3 linked regions of the Caenorhabditis elegans genome follow. Changing the gene in region 1 together with any one later gene gives a genetic interaction. Each region holds a gene or a part of one and is shown in the gene's direction. Other genes may lie near its edges. The genes, in order: act-1, ZK512.4 and ikb-1.

Region 1 (3,804 bases):
TTTTTAAATCTTCAAAATTCTAACATTAATTTCTAGGGCTTTCCAAGGATATATTCTTGAGAAGAAAATAGCTTCGAAAAGGATAGACAAAACCGGTCAATGTATGTTTCAATGAATGGTTTGACTTAAGCTCTTCTAACCAGCAATTGCTGTGCGGGCAGCGCAATACCAGAACCAACCCAATATGCGCTAATCGTTATACACGCCTCATTTTCTTTCTGTCACGAGGAAATCGTTAAAAAAGCAAACCTTCAGAAAAGTCGAAAGGCTTATGGTTTCTTCAAGTGAAAAGGTATCTAGACTACGATTCCTCCAGTATTTATATGTGTCATCTAATTTCCCTTGCACCTTCCCACGCAAAAATTCTTCACTAGCGTTCCAATTACTGATTGGGTCCGCAGACTTTTTTGCCATTTTCGATCCCCTATGCTGTGATGTTTGTAAACTCTTCGAAAGTATTTCTATCTCATCGAATATACCAAGAAAATCCTGCATGAGTTTCTTGCCTGCCCCCCCCCCCCCCCCACTGGTTTTTTTTCTGCTCCTCAATATCAGTTGGTACTCTCCCGATGATTTCTGAACATCTTTCCGCCCTCACAAGTGCTTGCACACATAGACCAATATCAATGAAGATTAAAAAAAAATAAATTAATTTCAAAATGTGGAAAGAAAATATTAAATAGCCTTAAAAGATGTATAGCATATGTCTGCTCAGTGTATGTTCCATCACACATGTTCGCATTAGTGCACAACGGGGTGATTTACAAGCTCTGCCTTCAATTAATAAGTATATTTTTCATTCTATTGAATTTGAAGAATTGTGAGCATGTAAGATGAATTCATTTATTGGAAACAAATATGCACTATTTTTAGATTCCGATTAATACAGTGAATACGGACCATCATATATAACTTATTATTTATTTATTCAAATACGTTAGATTCAACATGAATTAAAACATATTGTAGTTTTGTTAAAATATCCGTTTAAATTTAAAAAAAACAGTTTTATGCCAAATATAAAATACAGTCGTCTTTAATCGCATTCTACAGAAGCTATTGAAATTCCAGTAAATTGTTATTGGCTTTAATTTACCTGTGCATTATTTAGGTCATACCATTTTTACGTATTCATTAAATTTACTCATCTTTACCTGTTCGCCCATCATCTTTCTAAAAGTTATTGTTGTTTTCGTAAACCTCCCACCCTTCTCGTCATAGACAAAAAACGTTGCCACATATTTCTTCTCACCTCCTCTCTCGTGGACTCCTCGCCTTCGCAATCGGTCCGATCACTGAGAGATCGTGAGGAAATGAAGAGAAAAGGGAGGGATAAGATAGCTAGAGGGCGTTGTGGGCTCTGGCCAATACGAAGAACTTGGCAAGAGGGATGCTCCCGTGGAAAGAGGGAGTTTATGGGTGGAGTCTTCTCCCGCGGGTGTCTGGATCCTCTCTATTTCTCATAGTCACTAATTCGTTGTGTAGTCGGTGAATCCAATACGCAGAATTGTCTTTCATGGCACAGTATAAAAGCAACGGTGCCCAGTTTTACAGAGCTCACTCATCTCCACGCTTTCTTTCAATTTCTTTTATTTACTCTTCGCTATTTTGCAATAAGTTTTGAACACTTTTTTCAAATACAGCATTTTGATAAGCGAACAGATAACACCAGAGATAAGACTATCACTGAAGTTTCGAAAGTATTCCTTCCTCCATTAATGCCTCACACCATAGATAAGAATTTTTAAAATAAAAATCGTGTTCATGACTCACCCAATGTATTAGTCACGCCTTATTTGATTTTGTTTTTACCACCGCCCACCTGATGAATTGTCCCACTATATATATAATATATATTCTGCTCAATACTATCACCGTTTCCCCACGTGTTCTGTGTTATATTATCAATTTAATTTTTCAGGTACATTAAAAACTAATCAAAATGTGTGACGACGAGGTTGCCGCTCTTGTTGTAGACAATGGATCCGGAATGTGCAAGGCCGGATTCGCCGGAGACGACGCTCCACGCGCCGTGTTCCCATCCATTGTCGGAAGACCACGTCATCAAGGAGTCATGGTCGGTATGGGACAGAAGGACTCGTACGTCGGAGACGAGGCCCAATCCAAGAGAGGTAAATAATTAATACATTCGATGATTAAATTTATGCGTACTATTTCAGGTATCCTTACCCTCAAGTACCCAATTGAGCACGGTATCGTCACCAACTGGGATGATATGGAGAAGATCTGGCATCACACCTTCTACAATGAGCTTCGTGTTGCCCCAGAAGAGCACCCAGTCCTCCTCACTGAAGCCCCACTCAATCCAAAGGCTAACCGTGAAAAGATGACCCAAATCATGTTCGAGACCTTCAACACCCCAGCCATGTATGTCGCCATCCAAGCTGTCCTCTCCCTCTACGCTTCCGGACGTACCACCGGAGTCGTCCTCGACTCTGGAGATGGTGTCACCCACACCGTCCCAATCTACGAAGGATATGCCCTCCCACACGCCATCCTCCGTCTTGACTTGGCTGGACGTGATCTTACTGATTACCTCATGAAGATCCTTACCGAGCGTGGTTACTCTTTCACCACCACCGCTGAGCGTGAAATCGTCCGTGACATCAAGGAGAAGCTCTGCTACGTCGCCCTCGACTTCGAGCAAGAAATGGCCACCGCCGCTTCTTCCTCTTCCCTCGAGAAGTCCTACGAACTTCCTGACGGACAAGTCATCACCGTCGGAAACGAACGTTTCCGTTGCCCAGAGGCTATGTTCCAGCCATCCTTCTTGGGTATGGAGTCCGCCGGAATCCACGAGACTTCTTACAACTCCATCATGAAGTGCGACATTGATATCCGTAAGGACTTGTACGCCAACACTGTTCTTTCCGGAGGAACCACCATGTACCCAGGAATTGCTGATCGTATGCAGAAGGAAATCACCGCTCTTGCCCCATCGTAAGTTTTCTATTTTTGTTTCAGTTAACAAATTAAATTGATTTTTTTTCAGAACCATGAAGATCAAGATCATCGCCCCACCAGAGCGCAAGTACTCCGTCTGGATCGGAGGATCTATCCTCGCTTCCCTCTCCACCTTCCAACAGATGTGGATCTCCAAGCAAGAATACGACGAGTCCGGCCCATCCATCGTTCACCGCAAGTGCTTCTAAATGCACAACTTCGTCAACTTGCACAAACAAGTTCAAAACCATCGTCACCACCAGCTTTCTATTTCTTGTTTGCATATTTTTGTGCAACAAGGAAACATCATGCATATTTCCCAAAAAAATAAAAAACCGCCCCATTTTTGTCCTTATTGTCCTTTCACTCATTTGCGGGTGTGAATAAAAATTTAAAAATTGATATTTCTAAATTGTCTATCAGCACCATTAACAGATTCTTGAAGCACTCGCCGCCAAAAAATGTTACTGTTTGAGAAATACGTTGAAGACAGTTGCGACATGAGAGATATTTGAGTGGGCGCAGAGCGATTCCGAGAATCGCAACGTTCGTGAAGATACTGCTCGTCTCTCGAGAAAGAAAGCACACATTCCATAGTTTCTTCTTATTCCCACGGCGGCGAAAGCATCTGTTTACACAACATGCGGAGGCAAAAACGACGAGAAGCGTCGAACTGATAGGAAGAAAACAGAAAATCTTTGAACAGGAAGGGAAGTGTAGGCGGTTGTATGATAACTTCCGTACGGATAATAGTTTTAAATGTAAACAATGTTAATTAAGAACACAAACTTCTCCATTGATTCAACTCTGCGAGAAAAACGCAAACTTGTTTAAGTTTTA
Region 2 (2,956 bases), on another chromosome or scaffold:
TTTCAAACCGTCATAAAAATGATGGAAATTTTTTGAGGTCTCATTAAGAAATTCGCTTTTTTTGGCGAACTTTTTGTAATTCATCTTTTACTCCGCATAAAAATACGAACATACTTTTTATTCTTGAACATCTTGATATTTTTGTCCACTTTCTGTCCTCCAGTAACTGTTTCCACAGTTAAATTGAGTTTCTCTGCGAATGGTTGAATTACGCTAACGATTTGACTGCAGAGCTCTCTTGAAGGCGATAGAATAAGTGCTCCAATGTCAGCAGGCTGAAGTTTTGCATTTTGAATCATTCTCATCATTGGTAAAACGAAAGCAAGAGTCTTTCCAGATCCAGTTGGAGATTCAACGACAACATCAGACAGGTTAAGGAGATGTGTTCCAGAGAGAACCTGAAATTGGATAATTAAATAAAGATGCATTCCTACTACTTTCTACATCAAATGGCTTTTTCCTCAGCTTTGAGGAGAGCACACTCCTCCTTTGCTCTCATGTCTGCGTCTCTCTAACTCCCGATCAATATCCTTTCTCCCACCCTTCTGACCCATTTTATGCTATGCTTTTTCTTGTATATTTCAAACATTTTTATTTTATATTCTTGATTTTAGAGAATGAACAAACCGAAACAGGACTGGGGAGCGTATTATTATCAAGGGAAGCGAAAAAATGGGAAAACTCGATTAATGTTGGACGTTGTTCATCAGATGAATCAAGCAGTTCCAACATTCAACGAGTTGTTTGATGAGGTATTGGATTTTAAGTGGAAAATGTTTAATTAAAAACATTATTTTAATTTCAGGAAACTTTCTACGTGTTTGCTTTTCTCGTGGTTCTTGTGGCAGTTATATTTGTGATAGTGATGGCAAAATGCTTTAACGTTAAAATTAAAGAATACGATATCGATATAGATAGAGAATGGAGAGATATGACACCTGCTCATCCGTTCAGATTTCCTTGGGACGATGCAAAAAAGGATGCGAAATTGAAGAAGGATTGATTACTTTGGAAATTTTGGACATTTCCTCACTTGATATAATTTCACTTCGATCAAATAAACTATTATAAACTTACTTGTACATCTGTGAACGATTTGTAACTTTTATCGAATACTTCGAGCAGTTCCGGGCCGAGCTTCTCGCGGAACGTTTTCAAGGCTACTGGACCCACTTTTGATGTCATTTTGACGGCTGAAAAAAGATAAAGGTTGGGAAAGATATTTTAAACGGAGAAAACGTTTAATAAGAAGATAAATTCATTAGAAGTAATTAATTAAAGCAAACAAGGAAAATATTTAGTATTCCGTCAATTCCTATGAAAATTAGTTAATTTTCAAATACGAAAGCTGTTGAAAAAATTAGATTGAAATCTCACTTAATTATAAGACTAAAACCCATTCAAAACTATTAAGGAATAAGAAAGATTATCTAAAAATTCTTAAAATTCAGCAAAAAAAATTAATTCGAAAAGTACGCAAACACCGGCATTGCATCTCTGCGTCCAGTGCAGTGAATCTTACGACACTTGAAATGTGGCCGGCAACAAATTATGTTTTAAGCATTTTATTTAATATTAAAATTTAATAATACTATTTTACTAGTGAATTTATGAATTAATTGACTTGAATATTTTAATAATATTATTTGTTAGTAATCTCCAAAATCGTCTTTCCTTCTTTTCTGCGCTCATTACTTATTCAAATACTTCCATACTTATAAATCAAGTTTTTTTTCAGATTCGAAACAATGACATACTTCACAAGCTGGGACGAATTTGCAAAAGCTGCTGAAAGGCTTCATAGTGCCAATCCGGAGAAATGCAGGTTAGTTCGTAATATTTTAAAAAAACCGTCACTTTCGGGATTGAAAAATGTTATAGATTACTTAAATGTGCGATATTTACATAAAATAGAAAAGCGAAAGAAAATCAATTTTATCAATAATTTTTATTCGTGAGAAACATAAATTACTAAAGGATTATTTCCTGGAAAATCTTTTTGTCGATATTTCTGCAACCAACTTTTTTGTAGTTTCTTTGTTATTTATGGCATATTCAGCTGAATTTAAATAAAAATCCCCTAAAACATTCCTCATGGAGATTTCCAAAAGTTTTAGTGACAACTAAACTTTGATTTTCAGATTCGTCACCAAGTACAACCACACAAAGGGACAGCTCGTGCTGAAGCTCACCGATGACGTGGTCTGCCTTCAATACAGTACGAATCAATTGCAGGATGTAAAAAAGTTGGAGAAGTTGTCATCGACCCTGCTTCGCGGTATTGTCACTCAATAAACACGCTTTGTTTTATGTTTATGGTTTAATTAAGTATTTAAATAAAAAAAGTTTATATTTATTGAATGAAATTGTTTTTCAAATACGTGAACTTGAACTTCAACACTACAGATAGAAAAATAAACCAAAGCTTTAAAAATCAATAAATTCAGTTTGAATTTATTCCTCTAGCTTGACAAAGAAATAATGTCTCACCGGAACGATAGCTCTCGTAAGCATCGTAAATCGCGTTCAATCAAGAATGATCAACACTATCCGACAGTGTCTTTTGATGGAGCAGAGGTAATTTTATTTATTTTATTGGTGTGCGCTGTAATCCGATTTTTGGAATACGGTGCCCGGTCTCGACGCGGCAAATTGTTGTTAAATGCAAAGTGTTGTGCGCCTTTAACGAGTACTGTAATTTTGTCTAGTTGCTGCAGAATGTTTAGTGATTTTCCAACACACTATTAATTTGTTGAAAAACTAAAAATATAAGTGGTAACAATAATCGATGAAGTTTGGAGTTACAGTACTCTTTAAAGGCGCACACCCTCCCGCATCTGACAACAATTTGTCGCTCCGAGACCAGGAGCTGTAGGCAAAAAATTGCCAAGTTTCGCACCTGTATCATACAATACGTGGTTGAAAAACTTAATGAAGAAGAAAATATTTCAGTCTG
Region 3 (5,791 bases), on another chromosome or scaffold:
AAACTCCAAAGTTTCAAAAACTTTGTCCAGTTGAAATATTGTCTCTAAATAGACCTGAAATGTGATTAAAAACGATATATTTTGTTAAAACATTCCAAAATTTTTCAGATTTTTCAAAACTTTCAGTTAAAATTTTGGTAGAATACCAAAATTCCAAATCCTTAACCTACTTCATCTGTAACATTTTTGGTGCTGGAATATACACTCGAAAAGTGATAATGAAATGGCATAGGCACAAAAAATAGTAAAAAAAGGGACAACAATTGTACACAAAGATTTGGTGGAAAGAGGGTGAGACGAGGATTTGAGGCGACGACCCCCTCGTACCTATTAATTATATTTCAGGAGAACTAACGGAACGAGAGCGATCCTAAGTCAATGCTTGAGGGACGACAGCTTCTTCTCCTTTTTATATTTTACCCAAACTTTCCTGGCTTAAATTAAATCAAACTCGGGCAAGACTTGGTTAAAGATCATTCTTTCCCTTATCTAATTTTTGGTGACATTTAAACCTCTCAATTTTACCGTATTTCCTCTATTAGTATGGCACCGGCTACTTAACTTTGAAACGTTATATCTCGATTCATTTCAAAGATATCAATATTTTATAAACTACGAAATAATAGAAAAAGAACTAAAAAATATATTGTTAGATGACAAATTTTGAATAGTACAAACGATTACTGAGATAGTATAAGCTGTCAAAGTTGAACAATTGGGTGCAATACTAATGAGGAAAAACGGTAAGTTATTTTGTTGTTTTGTTGATATAGTTTTGCCAATATCAAGTCTTTTATATTTTTATAGTGGTTCCACAGGGAATACATTTAAAAAATCGATGAAAAATGAAAAAAGTAACAGTAAACCGTCACCTTACCAAAACATTGTTCACTTTATCAGTGCACACTGTCTTGGCGTTATTATTTGCCGTTCAATTAACTCTGAGTCATAGTTGACTATAAATCGAAAATTAGTCTTGCAAATACTGCAAATTATTTCTGAAAAAAAAACTCGACTTTCCAACTAGCGATATGTTTGCAAATGCAAAAGATACTTAGAAAGAAACACTCGGATTATTTCAAACTTTTATTGTTTTATTTCAGAAATCTGTGCTTTATTTACAGTGTGTGATGAAACACTTCTAAATAACGTAGAGTAAAAAAAAACACTTCAAAGCGGTTTTAATGTTTTATCTGCAGACTATTTTAATTGTAACAATAATTGAGCTTTTTTGCGAATTTTTTCGTCCCAAAAAAAAAGAAAAAAAAAGGGTCCAGAAAAAACAAACAAACATGAGTTCAACTCTCCACCACGGGAAAATTTTTTGCGAATTTTTTCGTTCCAAAAAAAAGGAAAAAAAATTCATCAATGAAAAGTAGGCAGTTCAGAAACCGAAAAGCTTAACATTTTTGCCACAATTGATCCCATGCTGATTGGACAACGGTTTTTTAAATCAGAACTTTTGCAGATCTCTCGATTTGATAGAAACATATTAATAGTTCTATCAAAAACAACGTCCTTATTAAAATTTTTTTAAATATTTAAATACAGTTGTCTTAACTTTCAATTGGGTATTTGTTTACTTTGATTCCGAAGTGTCCATTGCATCATCTTTAAAAAAAAAAATTATATCTCCTCTTAAGGTGACACCACTGTTAGATCTCTTGGAGAACTCTGATCAGCTCCAAATATGACCTCATATTATTAGGTTGGCATAGTTGTTTATCGAGTTATCTAACAAATGTTTTTGACACAGTATCTAGATTGTCTGATATTTACGTGTAAGCTCGTGGTCAATATCACATTCTAGTTCATTTCGAACACATCATCATTTTCTGTGCTTCTCTATTTCTCTCCAAATCCGCTGATATTTTCATTCATCCCCATCAGATTGTCATAAGATTGTCCTCGCGCTCTTTTCCGATCGACCAAGTGCTTGAACCCAAAGATCGTGCGAATAGTGTAAAAGTTGAAGAGACATAGGCATTTGCCGAGTTTACACACAGTCGAGCAGGCGGTGGTCGTTGGAGAGAAGCTTTCTCGCGGGATACCCTCATTCTAATATCCTCTCGTTCGTTTCATTTTGATTATTGGTTTTTTAATCATTTTCTAATAATGTCTAAAGCTGATGAAAATGATGCTAATCTCACAGAAAATGGAGTTCACAAATCGAGATCAGACTCAGAGGTTTGTAGTAGTACTACTAGTACTGTAGTTAAAAAATATATTAGCTTCAATGAGGATTTTGACTGAATTATATGAATCAATATATTCAATATAATAATCAATATAATTCCAAAATAACCAAATATCATAATAAAGAACTCTAAAAATTCCCAGTCAAAAATTTGGTAAATTTCCAAATTTGCCAACCATTTGGACTTTGTGAGAAATCTAAAGCAAAGTTACGTATCTGAACCTTTAAAATGGTTAAATACAAATATTTGAAACATAATTATAAAGTAAATATAAAATTGGTAGAAAAAAAACGTTTTTTTTTGGTACAATTACAAAATTGAGAATGGCGAAAACTGTGTGATCGCCAGTTTTTTGGTGGAAAATATCAAAAATTTTCAGAACAGATATATACTTATATTTGGTCATTTTAACTCTATAAAATTAGTTTTTAAAATTTTTACCCTGATGGCATATGAGCCAAATAAGAAAATAATCAAGCACTTTCTAGAAGCGAGCAATTATGAATATAAAAAAGTATATCAAATTATTGTCTAGATAAATTCCCATACATCATCAATTCATAAATCCTCAAGTCAACATCGCCGGTTATTCATTGATGATATTTCAACTATTGAAGCATCTGCTGGTGATCGCGTCTGGGCAACATGTTCTGGTGCTGGTTAGTTTAAGTTACAGTCGGATGAAGAAAATCTTTCTTTTTAATACAGGAGACGCCACTGAACTCATCACAATTCACTTTCTAGGCGATCAATTTGAAGAGAGTGCAATTGATGTTGTTAGGAAACATTCGGTAAGGACCGTTTCGTAAAAGGGAAAACTGAAAAAATAATATAATTTCAATAAATGATAAAATTCGCATTGAAATTGTACCCATTCTCCGTAATCTGTAACAAAATCTGTGTAAAAACTTATATAATTAATGATGTTTTACAGCTTGTAATGTTCACAGTCCCTTCTCTGAAAGTAGACTCAGAATTGGAAGTGGAGCTCAGATTTTCAACTTCAAATGATAATGTGACAACGATTTCTTTCAAATACTTGCCACGAAAAATCCAACGTTCGCATACTCAGGAAATATCGCTTTTTGACAATTTACTTGAATTTGCCACCAACGGAGACACAATTTCATTACTTCAGCCTTTTGTAGCACAAATTTCAAAACAAGATATTGAAGGAAATACGTAAGATTTCAAGTTTTCCTCTCCTTTACAACATTCATAATTTATTCCAGAGTATTCCATGTGGCAGCGAAGAATGGGCAGAGCTTCTCATTAAAGCTTCTACTTTCAGTGATTCCACCCGATATTAAAAATGGTAAGATGTTTTGAGACGAAGCTATTTAAAGCACCTGTGATTGAATTGGCATAAAAACTTCAGTATTTATATCACCAAGACGCGAAATTTCGCATTTTTTCGCGCAGAAAATACGACACGACAATTTTTTGTAAATTTTCATAGTTTGTTTTGAAGGTTATATTTAACAAATTCTGCAAAGACAGAAGTTTGATATTACAGTAGTTTTCTTAAAGGTGCACACCTTTTCTCATTTAGCAAAAATTTGTCGTGTCGAGACCGGAGATCTTATTTTTGGCGCAATATTTTGCATATGGGTAATATTTTCAGAAGTGATAAATGTACAAAACACACATGGTCTTACTGCACTACATGTAGCTATAAGGACTGGAGATCCCGATGCTGTTCATTATCTCATGAATCATGGAGCCAAAATTGACATATCAGATAATCATGGGAGCACAGTAAGTATATAACAGACAAAATGTTCGCTTTGTGTAGATTATTCAATACTTCTCAGGCTCTACATTATCTTGGAGATGCATACAATGAATCAATTTTCAAAGAAATATTAGAACCATCTAGAGGTCAACGGTTTGATGTGAATCAGCTGAATTCGGAGGGATTTGCACCGATTCACGTGGCAGTAAGAAGGTTGAAGCTGTCGTTGATTGAGATGCTCATTGAAGCGGGAGCATTGATTGATTTTTTGGATACTGAAAAGAAAAGAAATGCGTTGATGCACGCAATTGAAATGAATGATTTTGAGACTATTCAGCTTTTGGTTGAGGTAACTGTACATAGAAAAACATTGTTTTAAATTTAATATTTTTTCAGAGAGGATCAGGAACAAATATAGAAGATGAATCTGGAGAGACTGCATTGAGCTTGGCTGTAAAAAACGTTAACTATCCAGTGATTGGCCTTCTTTTAGATAATGGAGCTGATCCGAATAGACAAAATTCTAAAGGAATATGCTTGGCAGATAGTGAAGATAGTGTTATTCAAAACATTATAAATGGAGATAGACCCGAACTACCCAAGAAAGAAGCTTTTGGTGTTCCTAATGATTTAGCTATTTCTAGATCTCCCTTATTTGGGAGATCTCATCCAGATCAGGCTCCAGGTGAAGAGAGTGGGCGGCACAGAGTTGTGAAGAGATCTAGAGAAGAAATATTAAATGGTATGTTTTCTGAAAGATTTTTTGAAATTAGATCCGTTTTTGTAGACGCTCAAACTCTTCTCGCTGAAACTGACTCCATGGCTCCACGTGTTTCGAGAATATCCACATCTGAATCTGAAGATGAGCAACAGCCGGGACCCTCAACATCGTCGGGAACACGAAGGCGTCGAAGTGAATGGGATCGGAATCCGAAGCTTAGTGATTCGGTCTGCAATTTAGATTATTTGACCCGAATTCGCGTTGCAAAAATATTTGATGATCAGTGCAAATGGCAAAGATTGGCACAACAACTCAATTGTGATCACATGGTGGAACTTATTTCTATTTGCTCATCGGGAGACGATTCAAGCCCGACTATGATTCTTTTGGACCAATTTGAACAACTTGAAGACTCATCAATTTCCCGATTGCGCGATGCTATGAATCAAATGGCAGAAGATGATGCAGTTAAATTAATTGATTCCCGTTATGTTTACTGAATATCGCAGAATTGTTTTTATTTATTTTGTTTTCAGTAATAAAACTTTACCATGCATCCTGTATTAATTTACAAAATGCAATTTATATCGAAAAACTGGACTAAGTTGCTTTTTCCTAAAATATGAACACGACTTTTTTGAAAATTCACCGGTTTAATGAAATTCATACAGGTTCAGTACAAATACATACATTAATCACTGAAATTACATAAGAGCAAACAATTGAGCAAAGTTCCCCTTCCTACAATGAAAAAGATGAGATAAACTGCGCCGCAGTTGCGTTGGGTGCGCCGCATACTTGCACGTGTCCCGCCCCATGTGGGTCTCGCCACGAAATTGTCACCGTAGCCTATGGCTGTCTTACTCATTTTGCGATTTTTTTCCCAAATTTTCTTCTTTTTCAGCAAATTTTTGATATTTTTCGGTTGTTTCTGTGATAAAAACGATATAAGAAAAATTCAGAACCAGTTTGTCTATCGATTAATACTAAAATCATAAGTTTTTGCTCAAAATATATCGTTTTAGCTGGTGAAGTCAATTTTTTCGGTGTTTCTTCACTTCTCAATGTACGCGTTATAATTTTGATTTATTATTTAATTTTCAGTAAACATGGTCTTCAACCGTGTCGTTCAAATTG

The links.
Region 2: of act-1 (region 1) and ZK512.4, changing one enhances a phenotype caused by changing the other (phenotypic enhancement), as found in Caenorhabditis elegans (one study listed by BioGRID).
Region 3: of act-1 (region 1) and ikb-1, changing one enhances a phenotype caused by changing the other (phenotypic enhancement), as found in Caenorhabditis elegans (one study listed by BioGRID).

Annotation. Positions count from the first base shown.
Region 1 is NC_003283.11:11,079,131-11,082,934, forward strand, and holds act-1 (Actin-1), read left to right. Parts: upstream 1-1,921; 5' UTR 1,922-1,942; coding exon 1,943-2,132; intron 2,133-2,180; coding exon 2,181-2,961; intron 2,962-3,013; coding exon 3,014-3,173; 3' UTR 3,174-3,285; downstream 3,286-3,804. UniProt on the Caenorhabditis elegans protein: Actins are highly conserved proteins that are involved in various types of cell motility and are ubiquitously expressed in all eukaryotic cells.
Region 2 is NC_003281.10:9,143,602-9,146,557, forward strand, and holds ZK512.4 (Signal recognition particle 9 kDa protein), read left to right. Parts: upstream 1-1,738; 5' UTR 1,739-1,748; coding exon 1,749-1,825; intron 1,826-2,141; coding exon 2,142-2,295; 3' UTR 2,296-2,358; downstream 2,359-2,956. Other genes in the region: ZK512.2 (putative ATP-dependent RNA helicase DDX55 homolog), read right to left, coding at 115-398, 1,078-1,185; ZK512.11 (uncharacterized protein), read left to right, coding at 618-752, 806-1,003; ZK512.8 (uncharacterized protein), read left to right, coding at 2,482-2,577, 2,953-2,956. UniProt on the Caenorhabditis elegans protein: Component of the signal recognition particle (SRP) complex, a ribonucleoprotein complex that mediates the cotranslational targeting of secretory and membrane proteins to the endoplasmic reticulum (ER).
Region 3 is NC_003279.8:9,683,439-9,689,229, forward strand, and holds ikb-1 (Death domain-containing protein), read left to right. Parts: upstream 1-1,959; 5' UTR 1,960-2,115; coding exon 2,116-2,187; intron 2,188-2,733; coding exon 2,734-2,857; intron 2,858-2,906; coding exon 2,907-2,989; intron 2,990-3,132; coding exon 3,133-3,380; intron 3,381-3,430; coding exon 3,431-3,513; intron 3,514-3,822; coding exon 3,823-3,956; intron 3,957-4,012; coding exon 4,013-4,282; intron 4,283-4,329; coding exon 4,330-4,675; intron 4,676-4,720; coding exon 4,721-5,154; 3' UTR 5,155-5,215; downstream 5,216-5,791. Other genes in the region: rpl-14 (Large ribosomal subunit protein eL14), read left to right, coding at 5,764-5,791.